Linked DNA regions of Rhinolophus ferrumequinum. The protein of the gene in region 1 interacts with the protein of each later gene in a pairwise test. Links are inferred from orthologs where the notes say so. Each region holds a gene or a part of one and is shown on either strand. Other genes may lie near its edges.

Region 1 (7,968 bases):
TTACCAATAGTGTTCCAAAGCATCCAGGTCATGAAAGACAAGGAAAGACGGAGGAACTGTCATGGAATGAAGGAGATTAAGGAGACACAACTAAGTGCAGGGTGGAACCCTAGATTTGACTCTGGAAGAGAAATGGAGTAAAACACAAATTAGTTTTGTAGCTTAGTTATAACTATATCCAAGTTAATTTTCTAGTTTTGAAAATTATTCTGTGGTTAAACATAATAGGAAACTGAGTGAAGAGTTTATGGGCACTTTCTGTACTGTTTTTCCAGTTCTTTTGTAACTAAAATTATCTCAAAACAAATATGCATTCCTGATTACTAATGAGGCTGAGCATAATTTCAAATGTTTATTTCCCTGTACAGGTTTTTTTTTTTTAAATATAGACATTTAAGTCATTCTGCCTTTTTTCCTTTTCCTTTTTCTTACCGATACATATTAATATATATTCATGATATTAATATGTTGTCAGTTTTATATGTTGCAAATATATATTCTGGTCTATTGATTTTTTTTTTTAATTTTATTGGGGAATATTGGGGGGGAACAGTGTGTTTCTCCAGGGCCCATCAGCTCCAAGTCGTTGTCCTTCAATCTAGTCGTGGAGGGCGCAGCTCAGCTCCAAGTCCAGTAACCGTTTTCAATCTTTAGTTGTAGGGGGCGCAGCCCACCATCCCATGCGGGAATTGAACTGGCAACCTTGTTGTTGAGAGCCCACACTCTAACCAACTGAGTCATCCAGCCACCCCTAGTCTATTGATTCTTAAAATATTTTTATGCTGCCTCTTAATAAATGGAATTTTAAAAATATAGTCAAATTTATTACTAAAAGGAAAGAGATTCAGAAGAGTTGGACTTTGTGAAGAAGTTTTAGGAATATCTTAACGAATTAACTTTGCTTATTTTTTTTTTTTTTACTTTATATACACATGAGTGTGACACATGATAAAAAAAAATCTAGGTCTAAATAAGTTTAAAAGAGCTCTTAATATAAAAATTCTAAGTAATAAAAACTATTATGTCAGTGAAAATGGCAACATATTTTCTCCTGGCTGGTGCATCAATAATGTATCATGAATCAATAGTGCCCTAGATTTAATTATATAAGTGTAATTCATTCATTCAACGACTATTTATTAAGTACTTACTATTATGTCAGTCACGGACCTAGGTTTAGGGGATACAATGATGAACCAGAGAACTGAAGCTTACACTAATAGGAAGAAAGGCAACAATTAAATTCATTCATGTGTTAATTTTCAGTAGCAATATGTGTTACAAAGGCAATAAAACTAATGTTAAGCAAAGTAATGGTAATGGGTACTTTTACTTTAGAAAAGATCTTTGTGAGTTGGTAATATTTGAGCTGAAACCTGAAATGCTGAGAAAATGCTAATTATATGATGATTTGGGGAAAGAAAATTCCAGGCAGAGGCATTAGTAAATGCAAGCGTTCTGAAGAAGGAACAAATTTGCAATGTTGGAGGAACCAAAATGGCAGTGGAACTGAATTACAGTGAACCAAGGGGTTAGAGACTTGGTGAAGACTACGTCATTTCCAGCCTTGTAGGTCATGGCAAGAGTTGAGATTTTATTCCAAGTACAATTGGTTTTCATCAAAATCTAATTTAAGTTTAATTAAAAATATTCTTTTGCTTCACCCTTCCCTCCGGCTGTTTCCCAGAGCTAAAATGTTATGGTGATTACTTTTAGTGCAGCAGCTTAGCATATCCACATAATTCTTCCATTACGTGCAATGTTGACATTTTAAAGGGAAGCATTATACAAAACTTCTCCATTATTCTTATTTAAATTCTAACATTTTATTACATAATTGTTATTCTTATTTATTTATATAATGTACTTTCACTGGGGGACTGTTAACGAATAAAAAGTTTTGGATTGTAGAGGTCTAGAACTAAATCTTATATACATTATTTTGTTAATAATTATTCTTTATGAAAGTTTTTGCTTTAAATTGTTTTCCTGTCCTGAAATCTTGAATGTGGTCACTTTACCATCCACTATTACGATAATTTTATAAAAGAAGTTCCCTTTAACTTCCCTAAACAGGAAGGACATAATGTCAGAATAAAAAGTCCTCAAAATCTTGAATAAATGTAGCCTTCTTTTTAAAAAAATCTGTACATTGACCTAATTATTCTCATTTCAGAGAACTGACAAAAAAATCACATGCATCACTGCTCAGGAAAACCTTATAAATGTGTAAAGGATGCTTACCTATGATTCTCAAATACAGAGGGTGCCAAAAAAAATGTATACACATTTTAAGAAAGGAAAACTGTATTAAAATTGTAATACTCAATATATACCGATAATTCATCAAAAGATGAATACAAGTCACGTTTGACTTCTGCAATTACAATAGGTGCTCAAAGTGGTTACCATCAGCGTCCAGACACTTCTGAGCTTCGTTGACCAAAGAGTCCACTGTATACATTTTTTTGGCACTCCCGTAGATGCCAGAAAAATGTGGTTATTGATCATTCTAGAGGAAAAAAACAATCAACTTTTCTGAAGTTTCTCAGAGAAGAAAAATTATAATGATAAAAAAACAAAAATAATACATGCAATTTTTGTTCTCATGGTGATTTCTTAATAGACTAAATATCTTCCCCAAATCCATGACTACCCTGTTGCATAGGAGCTGGTTCCCCAAGTGACTTCACAAATGTCTGCCTTACTTAACTTCAGTTTTTTTTTAAAAAAGTAAAAAGATAACTTTTTTTGTTTTTTAATTTGATTTCAAAATTAATCTGAAAAAAATTAAAATGTAGTGATCTGAAAATGAAACCTACCTCTAATTATGGGTAGCATTTGTAGAAATAAATCATTTAAACTAATGATTTAAATCATTACTCCATCATTTACTTTCTTTGGTGCATTCATTGGAAGCTAAAATGTATCCTTCTGGGTTTATATGTATGTATCTGCATTTTGTGTCAAATGTAAATTGATACAAATTATGGATGGGGAGGAATTTAAAGGAAGTTGAAACATATTCAGAATGAGGAGGATAAAGGAAGTTGACACAAATTCAGAATGAAACATTCAGATTGAGGATGGTTATATGGTTTAAGGTCTTTAGGAGCTACATGTAATGGCAGAAATCCAGACTTTATTCTTTCTTATTAAAAGGAATTGTATTTACAGAATTTAGTGAGACCATTATTTTTTACATTTCCCATTGCTGTGATATTTGAGAATGTGTGCTCTTAGACCTAATTCCACTTTTAGCCCAGCTTCGTATGACCTTGTTTCTAGAGCAAGAGCCCCAGGCAGTTTCTCTGGAACATTTGATTAGAATATCCAGGCTAGATCTATTGCTGGGAAGGAGAGATCTCAATTTAAAAATTGGACAAAGGAAACAAAACCGCTGGTTTGATAGGTTTATGTTTTGTACTCCCCCAACAGTACATTCCAATTTTTAACAACTTACTCTGATGTTCAGTGCCATTCATTCAACAAGCTTTGGAGAGCTATCTATGCCCGGCACTGTCAGGAATCAGGGATGCAAAGATGAAGGTCACAGGTCTTGTCCTAAAGTATCATTAGCTGATATAAACTAATAATTACAAGACAGCTATGAAAGCATTGAAAGTGACGCAAATGTCTTAAAGGAAAGCGTGGCAAAGAACAAAGAGGCAGCTTGGAGGTAGTATGGCAACTGAGGTGGAGAGAAAATCTTGGAACATCAGAAGTAGGATACCGCCTCCTCTCAGAATTCAAGATGATTTGCTTGGAATTAAAGGTTATATACTCGTAACACTGTGCACCTTTCCTTCATTACACTGTCTTCAAAGTGTATGTTTAGATTTGTTTTTGTGATTAATGATGTTAGACTGAAAGTTCCTTGAAGACAGAACCATGTCCGTTTATCTTTACTATCGTGTACACGCCAGTGATGACACACACGAGATGCTGAAAAAACGTGTTGAAAGCCAAAATACAATGAGTGGGTAGGAGAATTCTCAAAAGCGTGGCTGGTCATTGTGTTTATCCAATACTGTCAAGTGAGAGAGCCACAGAATCTACGATAAGCATTCCTCTCACCAGAAGGGACTGCTCTATTGTTTGCCAAGGGATAATTCATTGAACTTTTCTGCTTGCTTTTACACCGTTGGATGAATTATCCATTTGCCCTGATTTCAACTTTTCTGCTACTGATTCGGCCTATTTGATTGCCTGACACCCTGCGAATTATCTTCTGATAACCAGAAAGGTCAGTTAAAGGTTTTTCGGAGCGGGGGGCGGGGGGAGGTTAATGCTGTCTTGCTCACACTCTTGTCCGTTGCAAGCAATATAGTTTTTGGGAGACAAAGATCACAATTAAGACTTCCAAATTACCTTGCTGAAAACCTGACTTACCAATGAAAATTCCAGCCTAACGTAACAGACAAGAGAAAAAACTTGCGCTGTGAGGAAAAACTGGGGTTTGGGGATTCCTGTAATATCGCCGGGAAGAGAGAAATCCTTTATATGACATTCCTGGATATGCCCTTCAAATTGTTCCGCCCTCAAGGTTTACCCTGGTTTAGCAAAGCACATTCAGGTTTGCAAAGATCAGAGACGCCGAAAGTCACCCGACACCTCGCCCCTGGCGTCCCAGCGGAGTCAGTAAACACCAAGATTGCTTCCAGCAGCTGATGGACAAGAGAACGTAGTGGAAACGTAGCCACCATCTTGGTTATGGTTAAGCTCAGCGCACTAGTAAGCGTCACTCGGCCCTCATGCGCAAGCGTATTGGGAATACGCTCCCCTCCCCTTCCTGTGCACGCGCTCGGTGCCCGCAACTCTCGCGAGAGAAGCGAGATTTATTCCTACGTACCGGGCCGTGCTGCTTATGGCGGCGCTGGAGAGGGGGCGCTGAGCTGTTGGGGTGAGTACGATCTCAGGGTCCATTTGGGGGTAGTAACAAGCCAGGCTAAGGGCAGAAGAGAAGGCCAAGACTAACGGGAGAGACTTCTGAGTCAAGTTAGGCACTCCTAGAGCTCCGGGAAGGGAAAATTTCACCCTGAGTCCCTACCCCGGCCTTTCCCACCCGGCCCCGGTTCAGCTGTCTAGACCTCACGTCAGGCCGCAGAGCCGAACCGAAGAGTCGAGGCCAGGCGGCCGCGCGTGGTGGCGGTGGTGGTGACTGAAGGGGGGGAGGGAGCGAAAATGGAGGCTCCGACCGCAGCCAAGATGGAGGCAGGGGTGCGGGGCTCGGGCGCGGAGGCTGCTGGGAGTTGTAGTCTGGCCGCTTCCCCTTCTGCGGCTTGGCAGGGTAAACGGGAACTACAAGTCCCGGCGGGCGGGGGGAGGGGGTGGTGGCGCGGTCCTTTGTGTGAGGCTGGAAGAGCCGGAGGCAGAGGAGAGGGGCCTACTCTGACTGGACCCTATAGTTTCCTAGCTGTCACCTGCTTAGGGATCTGACTACGAGTACCAGAGCGCAGTGCGGCAGTGGCGCTTCCTTTGTGTATAGACTGAGACCCCGCTTTCTCTAAGTGCTTAGAGACACCTCTTTTCCCCAGCCCCATCTGGCAGAGTATCGCGGCGGAATTGTCATCCTTATTTCCAGTCACCTAGAGCTGTGTATCTTGGGTCTCTACACCCTACCTTCCCCTTTATGCTTCTCCTTTGGCTTCTTGAGAAAGGGAACCAGCCCCTAATCTTAGGTACGTGGCTCTCACCCCTCTATCCCGGGGTTAGGGCGTGCTTTGTGAGAGCTTAGTGGAGTCTTCCTCACCACCTTTCCTGGCTCTTAATAGTGCAAGAACCCGGCCTACATTGTGCAATGAATGGTTTGGCTTTGTCATTCTATTTAGAGTTAGCTTTTTAGAGCCCTGGTCGGAGACACTTCTTAGGTTTTTAACCATCCGATGTTTTATCAGTACGAAATCTCAGTGCCACGGTTCTTTTGCTTTAAGGTTTTCCTTTAGAAACACGCAGATGGCTCCTCTCGTTTGACTCAAGTGAGGCAGGGAATGCTCCATAAAACAGCCTTCAAACTGCAAACACAAAAATCTGAACGTTGTTGTTCGAGGTAATTTCCTTGTTTTGCACCTAAAGTGAGTGAAAGAATGTGGTCCTCTTTAAACAGCTGGGAGACAGGGTGGAGGGGGAGGGTGGGCGCCCAAAGACTGGTAGTTAAATCTGTCTCCTTTGGGAGAAAGGTTTTTATCAGGACGATGGGAACTGGCAGCTCTGGCCTAGAGCTACCGGTCTATAAAATGAAGGTACCAAATTCTAACTCACTAAGATAAGTTATGGGTCAAAACGCTGAGTGATTTCATTTTGAGTTTCTAGAAGGCAAACATTCTCAATACTACATTAAAAGGTAATATAATATGTTGGTGTCCTTTTGGTACTAACCTGTAATGGGTATTCTTGGTGTGGGTAAGGAGGCATGTGCCTGAGTAATAAAATCTAGATAAATATTCAACCTGTTTTTGTTTCCTTTTAGCCCTAGGCCCAAAATAAAAGAGGTGGTGGTGGTATGAGTGATTTTGCAGCTGCTCTGGATGTTTACCATCGAGATGAGTATTTATAGCAGCTGAGTTGAAAAGTAAAGTATTTGAGGCACAGAAGATAGGTTTTCTTTTTTTGTAAATAAGTTCTGGCTTAACAAATACGACCTTTAGAATATGGTTGAAAATTGTAAATTCCTAGCAGATCAAAAAAGAGTGTAAAAGCTAACATGTAGTCCTGCTTTATCCCACTCCTGTCTTACGCTCCCTTTATCTAAAGACATATGGTACAGGGCCATCCAACATTTAAAACAATATAGTTCTTTTAAACTGGTAAAATATAGCAATTTACCATTTTAACGGTTTTTAAAAGTGTATAGTTAAATGGCATTAAGTTCATTCATATTGTTGTAAAGAACATGCTTTTGATGAGGTAGTTGAAACAAATGCTATTTGGACAGATGTTTAAGGAGTTGAATTTTAGGACTGTATCACAAAATCAAATCTTGAGATCTTGTTAAATGAACAATTGATTTTCCTTTTCAGCTTTGTTTTTTTCAAAAAACAAAGGGGAAATTACTTTGAGAGCTTTGAACCAAATTGTCTTATGGAGAGCTGTAAAATTTGTAGGATTTTTCATAATAAAGAATTACAGCTAGAAGAATTGTAACTATACTTTTTTAAGGCTTCATACTTGAATGTCTTCAGTAGTGATACTGCTGTGGTGGGAGTGACTTGTTTTCTTGAATCCCATTATTTCTTTTAAATCATTTCTGTCAAATCGGGATTTATAAATTCCTGATATTAGAATTTTTGATGTGAGAATGTTTCCTACTTGCATGTGTAACTACTTAAAAAACAAAATAATACAAAACTTTCCTTTTAGTTCATACTGCCAAGCCTGAGGAATTCTATTGTACATTTTTCATTATGGGTATTACAAACTGAGTGTGATATTCTAGGCAGTAGTCTATTCAGAAATACTGAATAGTAACTTTATTTTTCGAGCATTTTTATAATTAACATATCCTTTTATTCTGATGTAAAATAGTGTGCGTAGTTGAAAGTAAATTGATCTTCACGTTGAATGTGTGAGCTATCCATTGGTTTGCAGCTACAGCTAGTACATAACCAGTTATTTGTACTACTGTTTTTTAAGTGTACTAAGTACAAACTTCTGCTATGGTCATATTTGTTAGATACTGCCTACCTTTGTATCAGTGAAAGTCTTTGCCCCAGGGCCTTACATTTACTTTTGCTTTATTAGGCATGTCAGTGCCTTTTTCCTTCATCAGTCTATACCTGCTCTGACCAGTACGGTAGCCACTAGCCATGTGTGGCTATTGTGCACTTGAACTGTGCGCAATTCTGAATTGAAATGTGCTGTAATTGTAAGATAAACATTGGATTTCAAGAACTGTAAAAACATCTCAATTTTTTTAGATTGGTTGCATATGAAAATTGGTAACATTTTGGATATATTTGGCTAAATAAG
Region 2 (7,413 bases), on another chromosome or scaffold:
GTGGAGAAGGACATCCCCAAAAACATGCAGAGTCCGCACCCCAATCTGGGAGCGCCTCTGGGAGCCCCTATCTCTATACTTTCCCCACCTCCCAGGTAGCCGTTACCCCCTTAAAGGGGCTAAAACTCATTAGAGCACAAAGTGGACTCACCTCTGACCTAAGTCGTCAGGCAAGTGTCCCCAGGGTAGCCCAGCCTGGAAACTAAGGAAAGTCCCAGCTATGGGAGCTGGCCTTGAACTTCAAGAGACTTTCACTTCCGCCAAATGGGCCTCCTCTCCTGGTCCCGCTGTGGCTTGGACACTTCAATTTGGTGACCATTACCTGACCATATCAGGTTAGCCTGATGCTACAGGTATTGGCCAGGATCACGGGGGCCTCTTAGGCTTCTGAGGGGCAGGACGTGGCTTAGCTCCTGCTTCAGTTACCCCAGCTGGGCTCCATCCAACCCAAGGAAGCTCTAAAATCTGAGCCAGTTTCTTCAAAAGTATTTTTGCTGGAGGTGGGCTGGTCTCCACAGACACTGAGCTACCCTGGTGGGAAACCCGGTATTCCTACCCTAGCTGTCAGGACCTGCTCAGGCCAGACCCCCCCACAGGCCTGGGGGACCAGCTGCACCTTTTGAACCTCTCTGGGGAGAGGAGGGAAGGACCAGCAGTGCTCCAGCCTGCTAAAGGTGACCTGTTCTGGAAGACTGTGTTACCACAGCAGGACTGTGACCATGGTATTCATACACACATACATGCACACACATGTAAACATGGACCTACCAAGTCTCATCTGGCTGATGGCAGAGAACCTCCAAACAGCCAGGCTCTAAAAGAGGGTCTCAGGTCCATGAATGTGCCTCCTCCAGGGCCCCACCCACCTGGGAAAGGCTCAGGAAACACAGCCCAATCTGCTGGCCCTCAGGACCAAGGTCAGGCCCAGCCCAGGGCAGGAAGAAAACAGGATGCAGTGCAGGAAGGTCGGGAAGGCCCAGCAGAGACAGCTCGGGCCCAGGCCATGGCAAAGGAGCTGGGTCAGCTTGTCTGCTGCTCAGAGCAAAACTAAAACTCCGTGTTCACAGCACAGCCTCTGAGGACCTGGGACTGAGGACGCCCGGAATCTCCTGGGGGCCACTGAGTGGCAAAGTCTGCAATGATCACCTGGGATCTGCTCCTTACTCCCAAACTGTCCAAGCCAGGTTACTACACAGGGCCCGAGGCTTCAGGCCCTGGGGTTCTTTCCCTCCATGTGGCCCAGGGCCCCTCCCACCTGCAAGGTCCCAGAGCTCCCTGGAAGGAGGCTCAGGCTGGTCTCTGGCTCAGACCCTGTTCTAAGCCAACTCACTGTAATCAGGCTCCTCAGGGAAACTGGACAGCACCACCACAGTCAGCTCCATCACGGTATTTGGGGGAGAGGGACTGGAGCAGGTAGGAATCTAGTCCACCCAGATCCTCTGGGACCTAGCTGAGCTGGTCCTGCTGGCCCAACAAAGGACCCTGGCAGCTGAGCCAAACCCTGTAGTTTATTTCTCCAACAAGGTGTTTCCCTCTGAAAGTAGGTAAACACAGGAGCCTCCCTCCCTCCCCTTCTGTGGCCCCACATCGAAGGGCTGGCCCACCTGCCCCCCACAGACCGAGAAGCCCCATTCCATGTCAGAACTAACCAGGAGCCATGGGGGAAACGGTGAGAAGTAAGGTCTGATTTCTCTCAAATGCCTTTCAGCTGGAGCTGGACTCCAGAGGCCCTGGGCACTTGCTGGCTCCTGACCTTTCTCTCATGGGAATGAGAGAGGGTGGGACCAGCAGTCTGGCCTCTGGAGACCAGCTGGCTGTGGGGAAACGGTTCCCTTGATCCCACTCTAACTGCCAGGAGCAAGAGAGAGCCCGGGGAGCCGCAGCATGGGAGTGGGAGTGGAGGTAAGAGGCAAGTCCTGGATGGCAGCAGAGCAGCATGTCCTGGCTCCCTTGAAAGTGGGGGATCTGGAAAGTCAGGGCATAGACTTAGTTCAAGGGGGGAGGAGAGAAGGGGTGGGCAAGGAAGCAGCCTTGCTGAGGCCAGGTCCTGCTTGTTGGGGCCAAGGAGATGGCCTCTGTGCCACGTGTAGACTCCGGAACGTGCAGCATGGACTATGCTGCAAGATCCCAGGCCCCACTCAGCAGGCCAAGGGCAATCTGGAGGTTTCTCGGCCCTGACCCAGACAACGGAGGGTACTGCAAGCACAGCCGTCCCCACCGCTGGGCCTCAGAGAAGAAGCCCCCTGCAGCGGGAGTCCCAGCTGGGAGACTGGACCCCACAGGCCTGGGAACAGGTTCCGTTGCCAGGCTGCCGCACTGCCCGCTACTCTTTGCACGTCCCCAGGCAGACCTGGGCCTTCCTAGCTGTGGGCATCGACCTGGGCCCAGCGAGGCCCCTGCCGCCGCGCACCAGCTGTTTCTCCGACCCGGGAGGGCGCGGGCCGGGCTTTGTTTGCGTTGAGTCAGCCGGGTCTGTGAGTCCGGGACCCGCGGGCACCAACGGGCAGGAGAGGATGAGGGAGGCTAATGGGTGGGTGGAGACGAGGAGAGGCTAGAGATGCAGGGCTGGAGGGGCGGAGGGGGTGGGGGAGGGACAGGGGGCGGACAGCGGCGGCGCCGGCTCGGGAAGTAGGCACACGTCAGCCTAAGGTGGCAGCAGCGGCTGCGGGGAGGATGTTCCCGAGAGAGGAGGCTGGAGATGGGGAGGCTAGGGCTCGGGATGGAGCCTGGGGCACAGGCCAAGGGATTCGGCTCCGGCCCTGGCCTCAGTGTCACCCTACAGGCAAGCCGGTCCCCCCATTTCAGGGCAAGCCAAGTTCGCGCACCACCCCCTGCCCCCGGCCCTGCCCAGCAACCAGCCCTGCAGGTGGGTGGGGAGGCTGGGGCCCCGGGCGCACCTGCGTCTTGGTGGTGAGCTGGATCACCGCCTTTCGGAAATTCAGCTTGGAGTCGGCCGACCCCATACCGTTGGAGCCCGTTCCGGCCGGGCCCCGACCCCGACTCCCGCCCCGGCCTGGGTTTGGGATCCAGCTCCAGCTCCGCGGCCCCCGCTGCTCTCGCAGGAGCAGAGCCGCACACCCCGCCCGCTAGCCCGGCGCCGGCCCCGCCCCTTCTTGGCTCCGCCCCGTCAGGCTCCGCCCTCCCGACACCTGCCGCGTTCCTCATGGTCCACTCCTGGCCCACAGATTCTGCCCTTCCGACCCAAAGCTGCCGCACGCCCTTCTCATCCTGACCCAGTGCCTCTGCGCCCTTCCTTCAGCGTCCTAGCGTTGTCCCTGCTCCACTCCCCCATTTCCATCCAGCCCCAGGGCCCACAACCCGCCCAGCCTTCCGTCCCCGCCCCCATCCTCACCATTGGTCCCCACGCCATCACTGGGTCCACACTTTCTCAGCCAGCCCATTCCCTTGGGTTTCTTCCTCGTCAATCCCTGTCCAACTTTTTCTTTTTTTCCCTGAGCATCTGCTCTCTTGGTTCCCCTTTTTCTGACCTGTCAAACCCACATGTCCAGACAGCCCCTGGCTCAGCCATTCGCTCTGCGGAAGGGAAGCTGACTTAGTGCCCCTGCTCCAGGAAAGCAGCTCCCGGCCTGATGACGGCGGGAGGTCCTTCCGGGTCCCACAACTCCTTTCTGGATGCCTGCCTTCCATGAAAATCCTTTTAGGTCCATCAATTTCAACAAATGTGTTGAGGGATTGACATTTAGCAACATTGTGTCAGGCACAGGGGCATAGGGGCTGAAATCACAGTATCTGCCTTTTATGAGCCGTTAGCTAGGGAGAGAATCAAGAAAGTAATCAGCCATGGTTCAACCCAGTGAGGCTTTGATAAAGGCAGATTAACAATAATAATAAAAATAATATAATGTGACGACAATATCTCTAACAACAAAAACCTACCTCTAAGGTAGGTATTATCCACATTTTACACTTGGGGAAACAAAGGCTCAAAGCATTTCAGTTACTTGCCCAAAGTTGCACAACTAGTAAGGAACAAAGCCAAAAAAGCCTATTTAACTCTGGCCCCAAAAAAGGCTGCACTTTTCCACAACGTCATCTTGCATGCTATGTCTGGAAGCTTCTGGAAATCCTAGATGCTTCAAAAGGAGGTGACACTTAGCTTAAAGAGGAATTCCACGGGTGAAAAATGAGGGATGCACTATTAGGCTGCAAAAAAAGTGACACAAAGGCAGGGTAGGACAGGTGTGGAGGTTGGGAGGAGGGGGACAGGTTATCACCATGTCACCCAGTGAGCAGACTGGACAGGATAGCTCTGTCCTTGCTGCAGAGGTGTGTTTTCCCTGCCCTGGATGAAATCCTGGGCAGGCTCAATGGCTTTTCTAATCACTTCGAGATAATGAAGGGTACCTTTATTTGGTGTTTAAAAAGAAAATTTCAGTCCACTTTACAAATCACCCAGCCCTGTTCCAGCCCAGAGTGATGTTAAAAATTCTGAATCTTAGTCTTTAGGGAGATACAAATGGAAACCACAACACGATAACAATTATATACCTATTAGAATGGGTTAAAAACCAACAAGTTAAATATACAATTACTATATGACTCAGTAATTCACTGGTGGTATTTGAAGACAAGAAATGAAGACAAAAAGCCTGTGTAATTGTTACAGCAATTTCATTCATAATCACCCCAAATTGGAAATAACCCAAATGCCCATGATCTGGTGAATAAGCAGATTGTGGTTCATCCATACACAAGGACTAGTAGTCAGCAACAGAAAGGAACAAGCTGCTAGCACATGCAGGAACAATGTGCATGATCTCCAAAGCATTGGGCCAGACACAGAAGGCCACTGTATTATATCACCTATATGACATTCCAGAAAAGGCAAAACATTGGAAAAGATACATCATTGCCATAGACTGGGAGCAGGATAAGGGGATTGACTACCAAAGGGTATGAGGAAATCTGGGGGAGAGGGTGGTGATGAAAACATTCTGTTTGATTGTGGTGGTGGTGGTGGTAGTGGTGGTTCCAGGACTGTATATGTTTGTCAGAATTCACATAACCACCTTAAAGGGGTACATTTTACTGTATATAAATTATACCTCCATAAAGTTGACTTTAAAAGAACAGAAACCCAGAGCAGGTGCTAACTCGCCATTTCAGGGAAGTAATTGCGAGCCCTTTGGTCTCGCCCAGCACTCAGAGCCGTTTCTGTGGTTTGCAACCAGGGACTTCAAGTGCCACCGAAATATTACTGGTAACTCATGGACCTCGCTTGTCCCATCAGTTTTCATGGGATAGATTCAAATGAGTCCATTTATCCTCATCCAACCTCAGGGGGTCTTCTCCCATTCACTGGGCATCCTGCTTCTCAGAAAAATCTTAGTGTCTCTATCCAGAAAAATTTACAGGATCCCTGTGCACTCTTGCCCTCATAGCATGAGGGAGAAATGTTAACATTGCCTTCAGGCACGTGACTGCTAACACATCTAAGTGGAAAAATACCCGTTTATCCCCACCATTTGTTTACTGTCTCCAAGTTAAACGTACCACCCTCCCTAATTCCATCAGCGATCATGTTTTTGAAATGCTGTTGGTTATTTTTTAATGAGGCATATTGAAGTGTGTAGAGAGAAGATGGCTTAATAACTAGGATTTGCTGTAAAATATTGCAGCAAAAAAAACAAAGCAAAGAACAATGGGGGAGATGAAGCAAATGTGGCAGAATCTTGGTGATTGTTGAATCTGGGTTGGGTACGTGGAGATTCACTTACTAGTCTCTCTACTTTTGTGCATGTTTGAAAACTTTTGTAGTGAAAAGTTTTGAGAAAAAAGACTGGATGTATACAGAAAAAAATATTAGTAGTAAAAGAGAGCTTTTGAAAGTTTAAAGAAATTACCATTATTAATTTGATGATTCCTTAGTAGGTTCTTAGCTAGGATTTCCCCGATGGAAAACATGCCCTGTCCTCCTTTTATGCCCAACAGAAAGGAAGAGTCACCATTCCATGGCTCTCACAGCCCTCCCTGGAGCCTTTGTTTTCTGAATGGAACCATCAATCACGCAACAAACATTGACTCAGTACCTACTAAGTGCCAGGTACCTTGCAATGTGCCAGGGCCTGAGCGGCAAAGATAAATTCCCACGACCGAGAGAGAGGGAGACACACAAGGCAACAATACAAGTAATAGAGAGTTATGGGGTCAAGAGTGGGAGTCTGTCCAGAGCCCTGAGACCTGGTGGGAACAGGTGAGGAAAGACTCGACAGAAGGAGAGGTTGGGCTGAGGTTTGGAGGATGACTAAGAGTATCAGTTAGGGTCTCAACAGGAAACGGATGGAACGCTTAGAGGAGTAAGCAAAGAGAATTTAATCTAGAGGTGATTTACAAGGTGAGGGAAACCAACAAGGGCTGTGAAGGACTCTGGGGCCAGAAGCAGTGGGGAGCCTCGGCCATCCTTCAGCTTGAAGGGGCAAGGTGCAGAATGATTGCCAAAACCCAGAGGAGGAGAGCCCAGCTGTAGGAGAGGGCAGACAGGAGCGGTGGCCTCCCAGGGTCTGGAAGGTAGGGTGCTATTGGATAGATACTCCACCTTCACTCTTCTCCTGTCCCCTGATTTCCAACTGGTACTTCCCATCAGTGGACCCACAGACATCAAGAGAGCAAGGGACACATGCTTGCAGCCCACAAAAGCTTCAGCCTCCAGGGCTTGGAGCAGATGGAGATGATGAAAAGAGATCTAAAAGGGCAAATGGAACATGTCCCACCTCCAGGCGGTTGGAGCGAGTGGAAGGACAGACCGGAAGTGTAGAGAGTGTGATAAGACTAGGGAATGGAAACACCTAGTTGGGGTGAAATGCAGAGTGACAAGAGATAAAGCTTGAGAGGCACACCAGGACCAGAGCATAAAGGACTGACTGCATCCATCCTGTGCAGGGGCTTTTACCTTATTCTATGAGCAATAAGGAGCCTTTGAAGCTATGTCTTAGCAAAGTCATTCTGGCTGCTGCAGGAAAGATGAAGTGACCTGAACACAGGGAATCCAGCTGGGTGACAAGGTGAGAGATGATTAGGGTTGAACTGAGGCAATCACAAGTGGGATGTCTCTTGTCACCCCCATATCCAATCCATCACCATATCCTGATGATGTTATTCCCCAAACATGTTCCCGGCATCCCCAGCACCTAGCACCAGCCTAGCACACAGCGATTATTTATTGGATGAATGAGTGAAGATAACTCCTGGAGGGTCATAGAAGATGGAGTTACTTTGGTTGTCCACATCAGTCAGTAAGAACAACACATTTCACCAACCGTTTCTCAGATTCATTTTTCAGTACTTTTAGGAGCCTTTCAGGGGGGGCAGGTAGATCTGACCTGGGGTGGAGAAGGATGAAGGAAGGCCAAGGGATATGGTTCTACCACTGGTCCTTTGTTCATCCATTGTGTA

Evidence for each region.
Region 2: the proteins of CSDE1 (region 1) and HID1 interact in binary tests that used the Homo sapiens proteins (3 or more experiments, as listed by UniProt). The two-hybrid records come from large-scale screens. The link is inferred for Rhinolophus ferrumequinum from reciprocal best matches to the Homo sapiens genes CSDE1 and HID1.

The regions. Positions count from the first base shown.
Region 1 is NC_046305.1:45,431,788-45,439,755, reverse strand, and holds the start of CSDE1 (cold shock domain-containing protein E1), read left to right. Parts: upstream 1-4,778; 5' UTR 4,779-4,903; intron 4,904-5,936; exon of another isoform or gene 5,937-6,049; intron 6,050-7,968. UniProt on the Homo sapiens protein: RNA-binding protein involved in translationally coupled mRNA turnover.
Region 2 is NC_046304.1:50,083,984-50,091,396, forward strand, and holds the start of HID1 (protein HID1), read right to left. Parts: upstream 3,096-7,413; 5' UTR 2,964-3,095; coding exon 2,898-2,963; intron 1-2,897. UniProt on the Homo sapiens protein: May play an important role in the development of cancers in a broad range of tissues.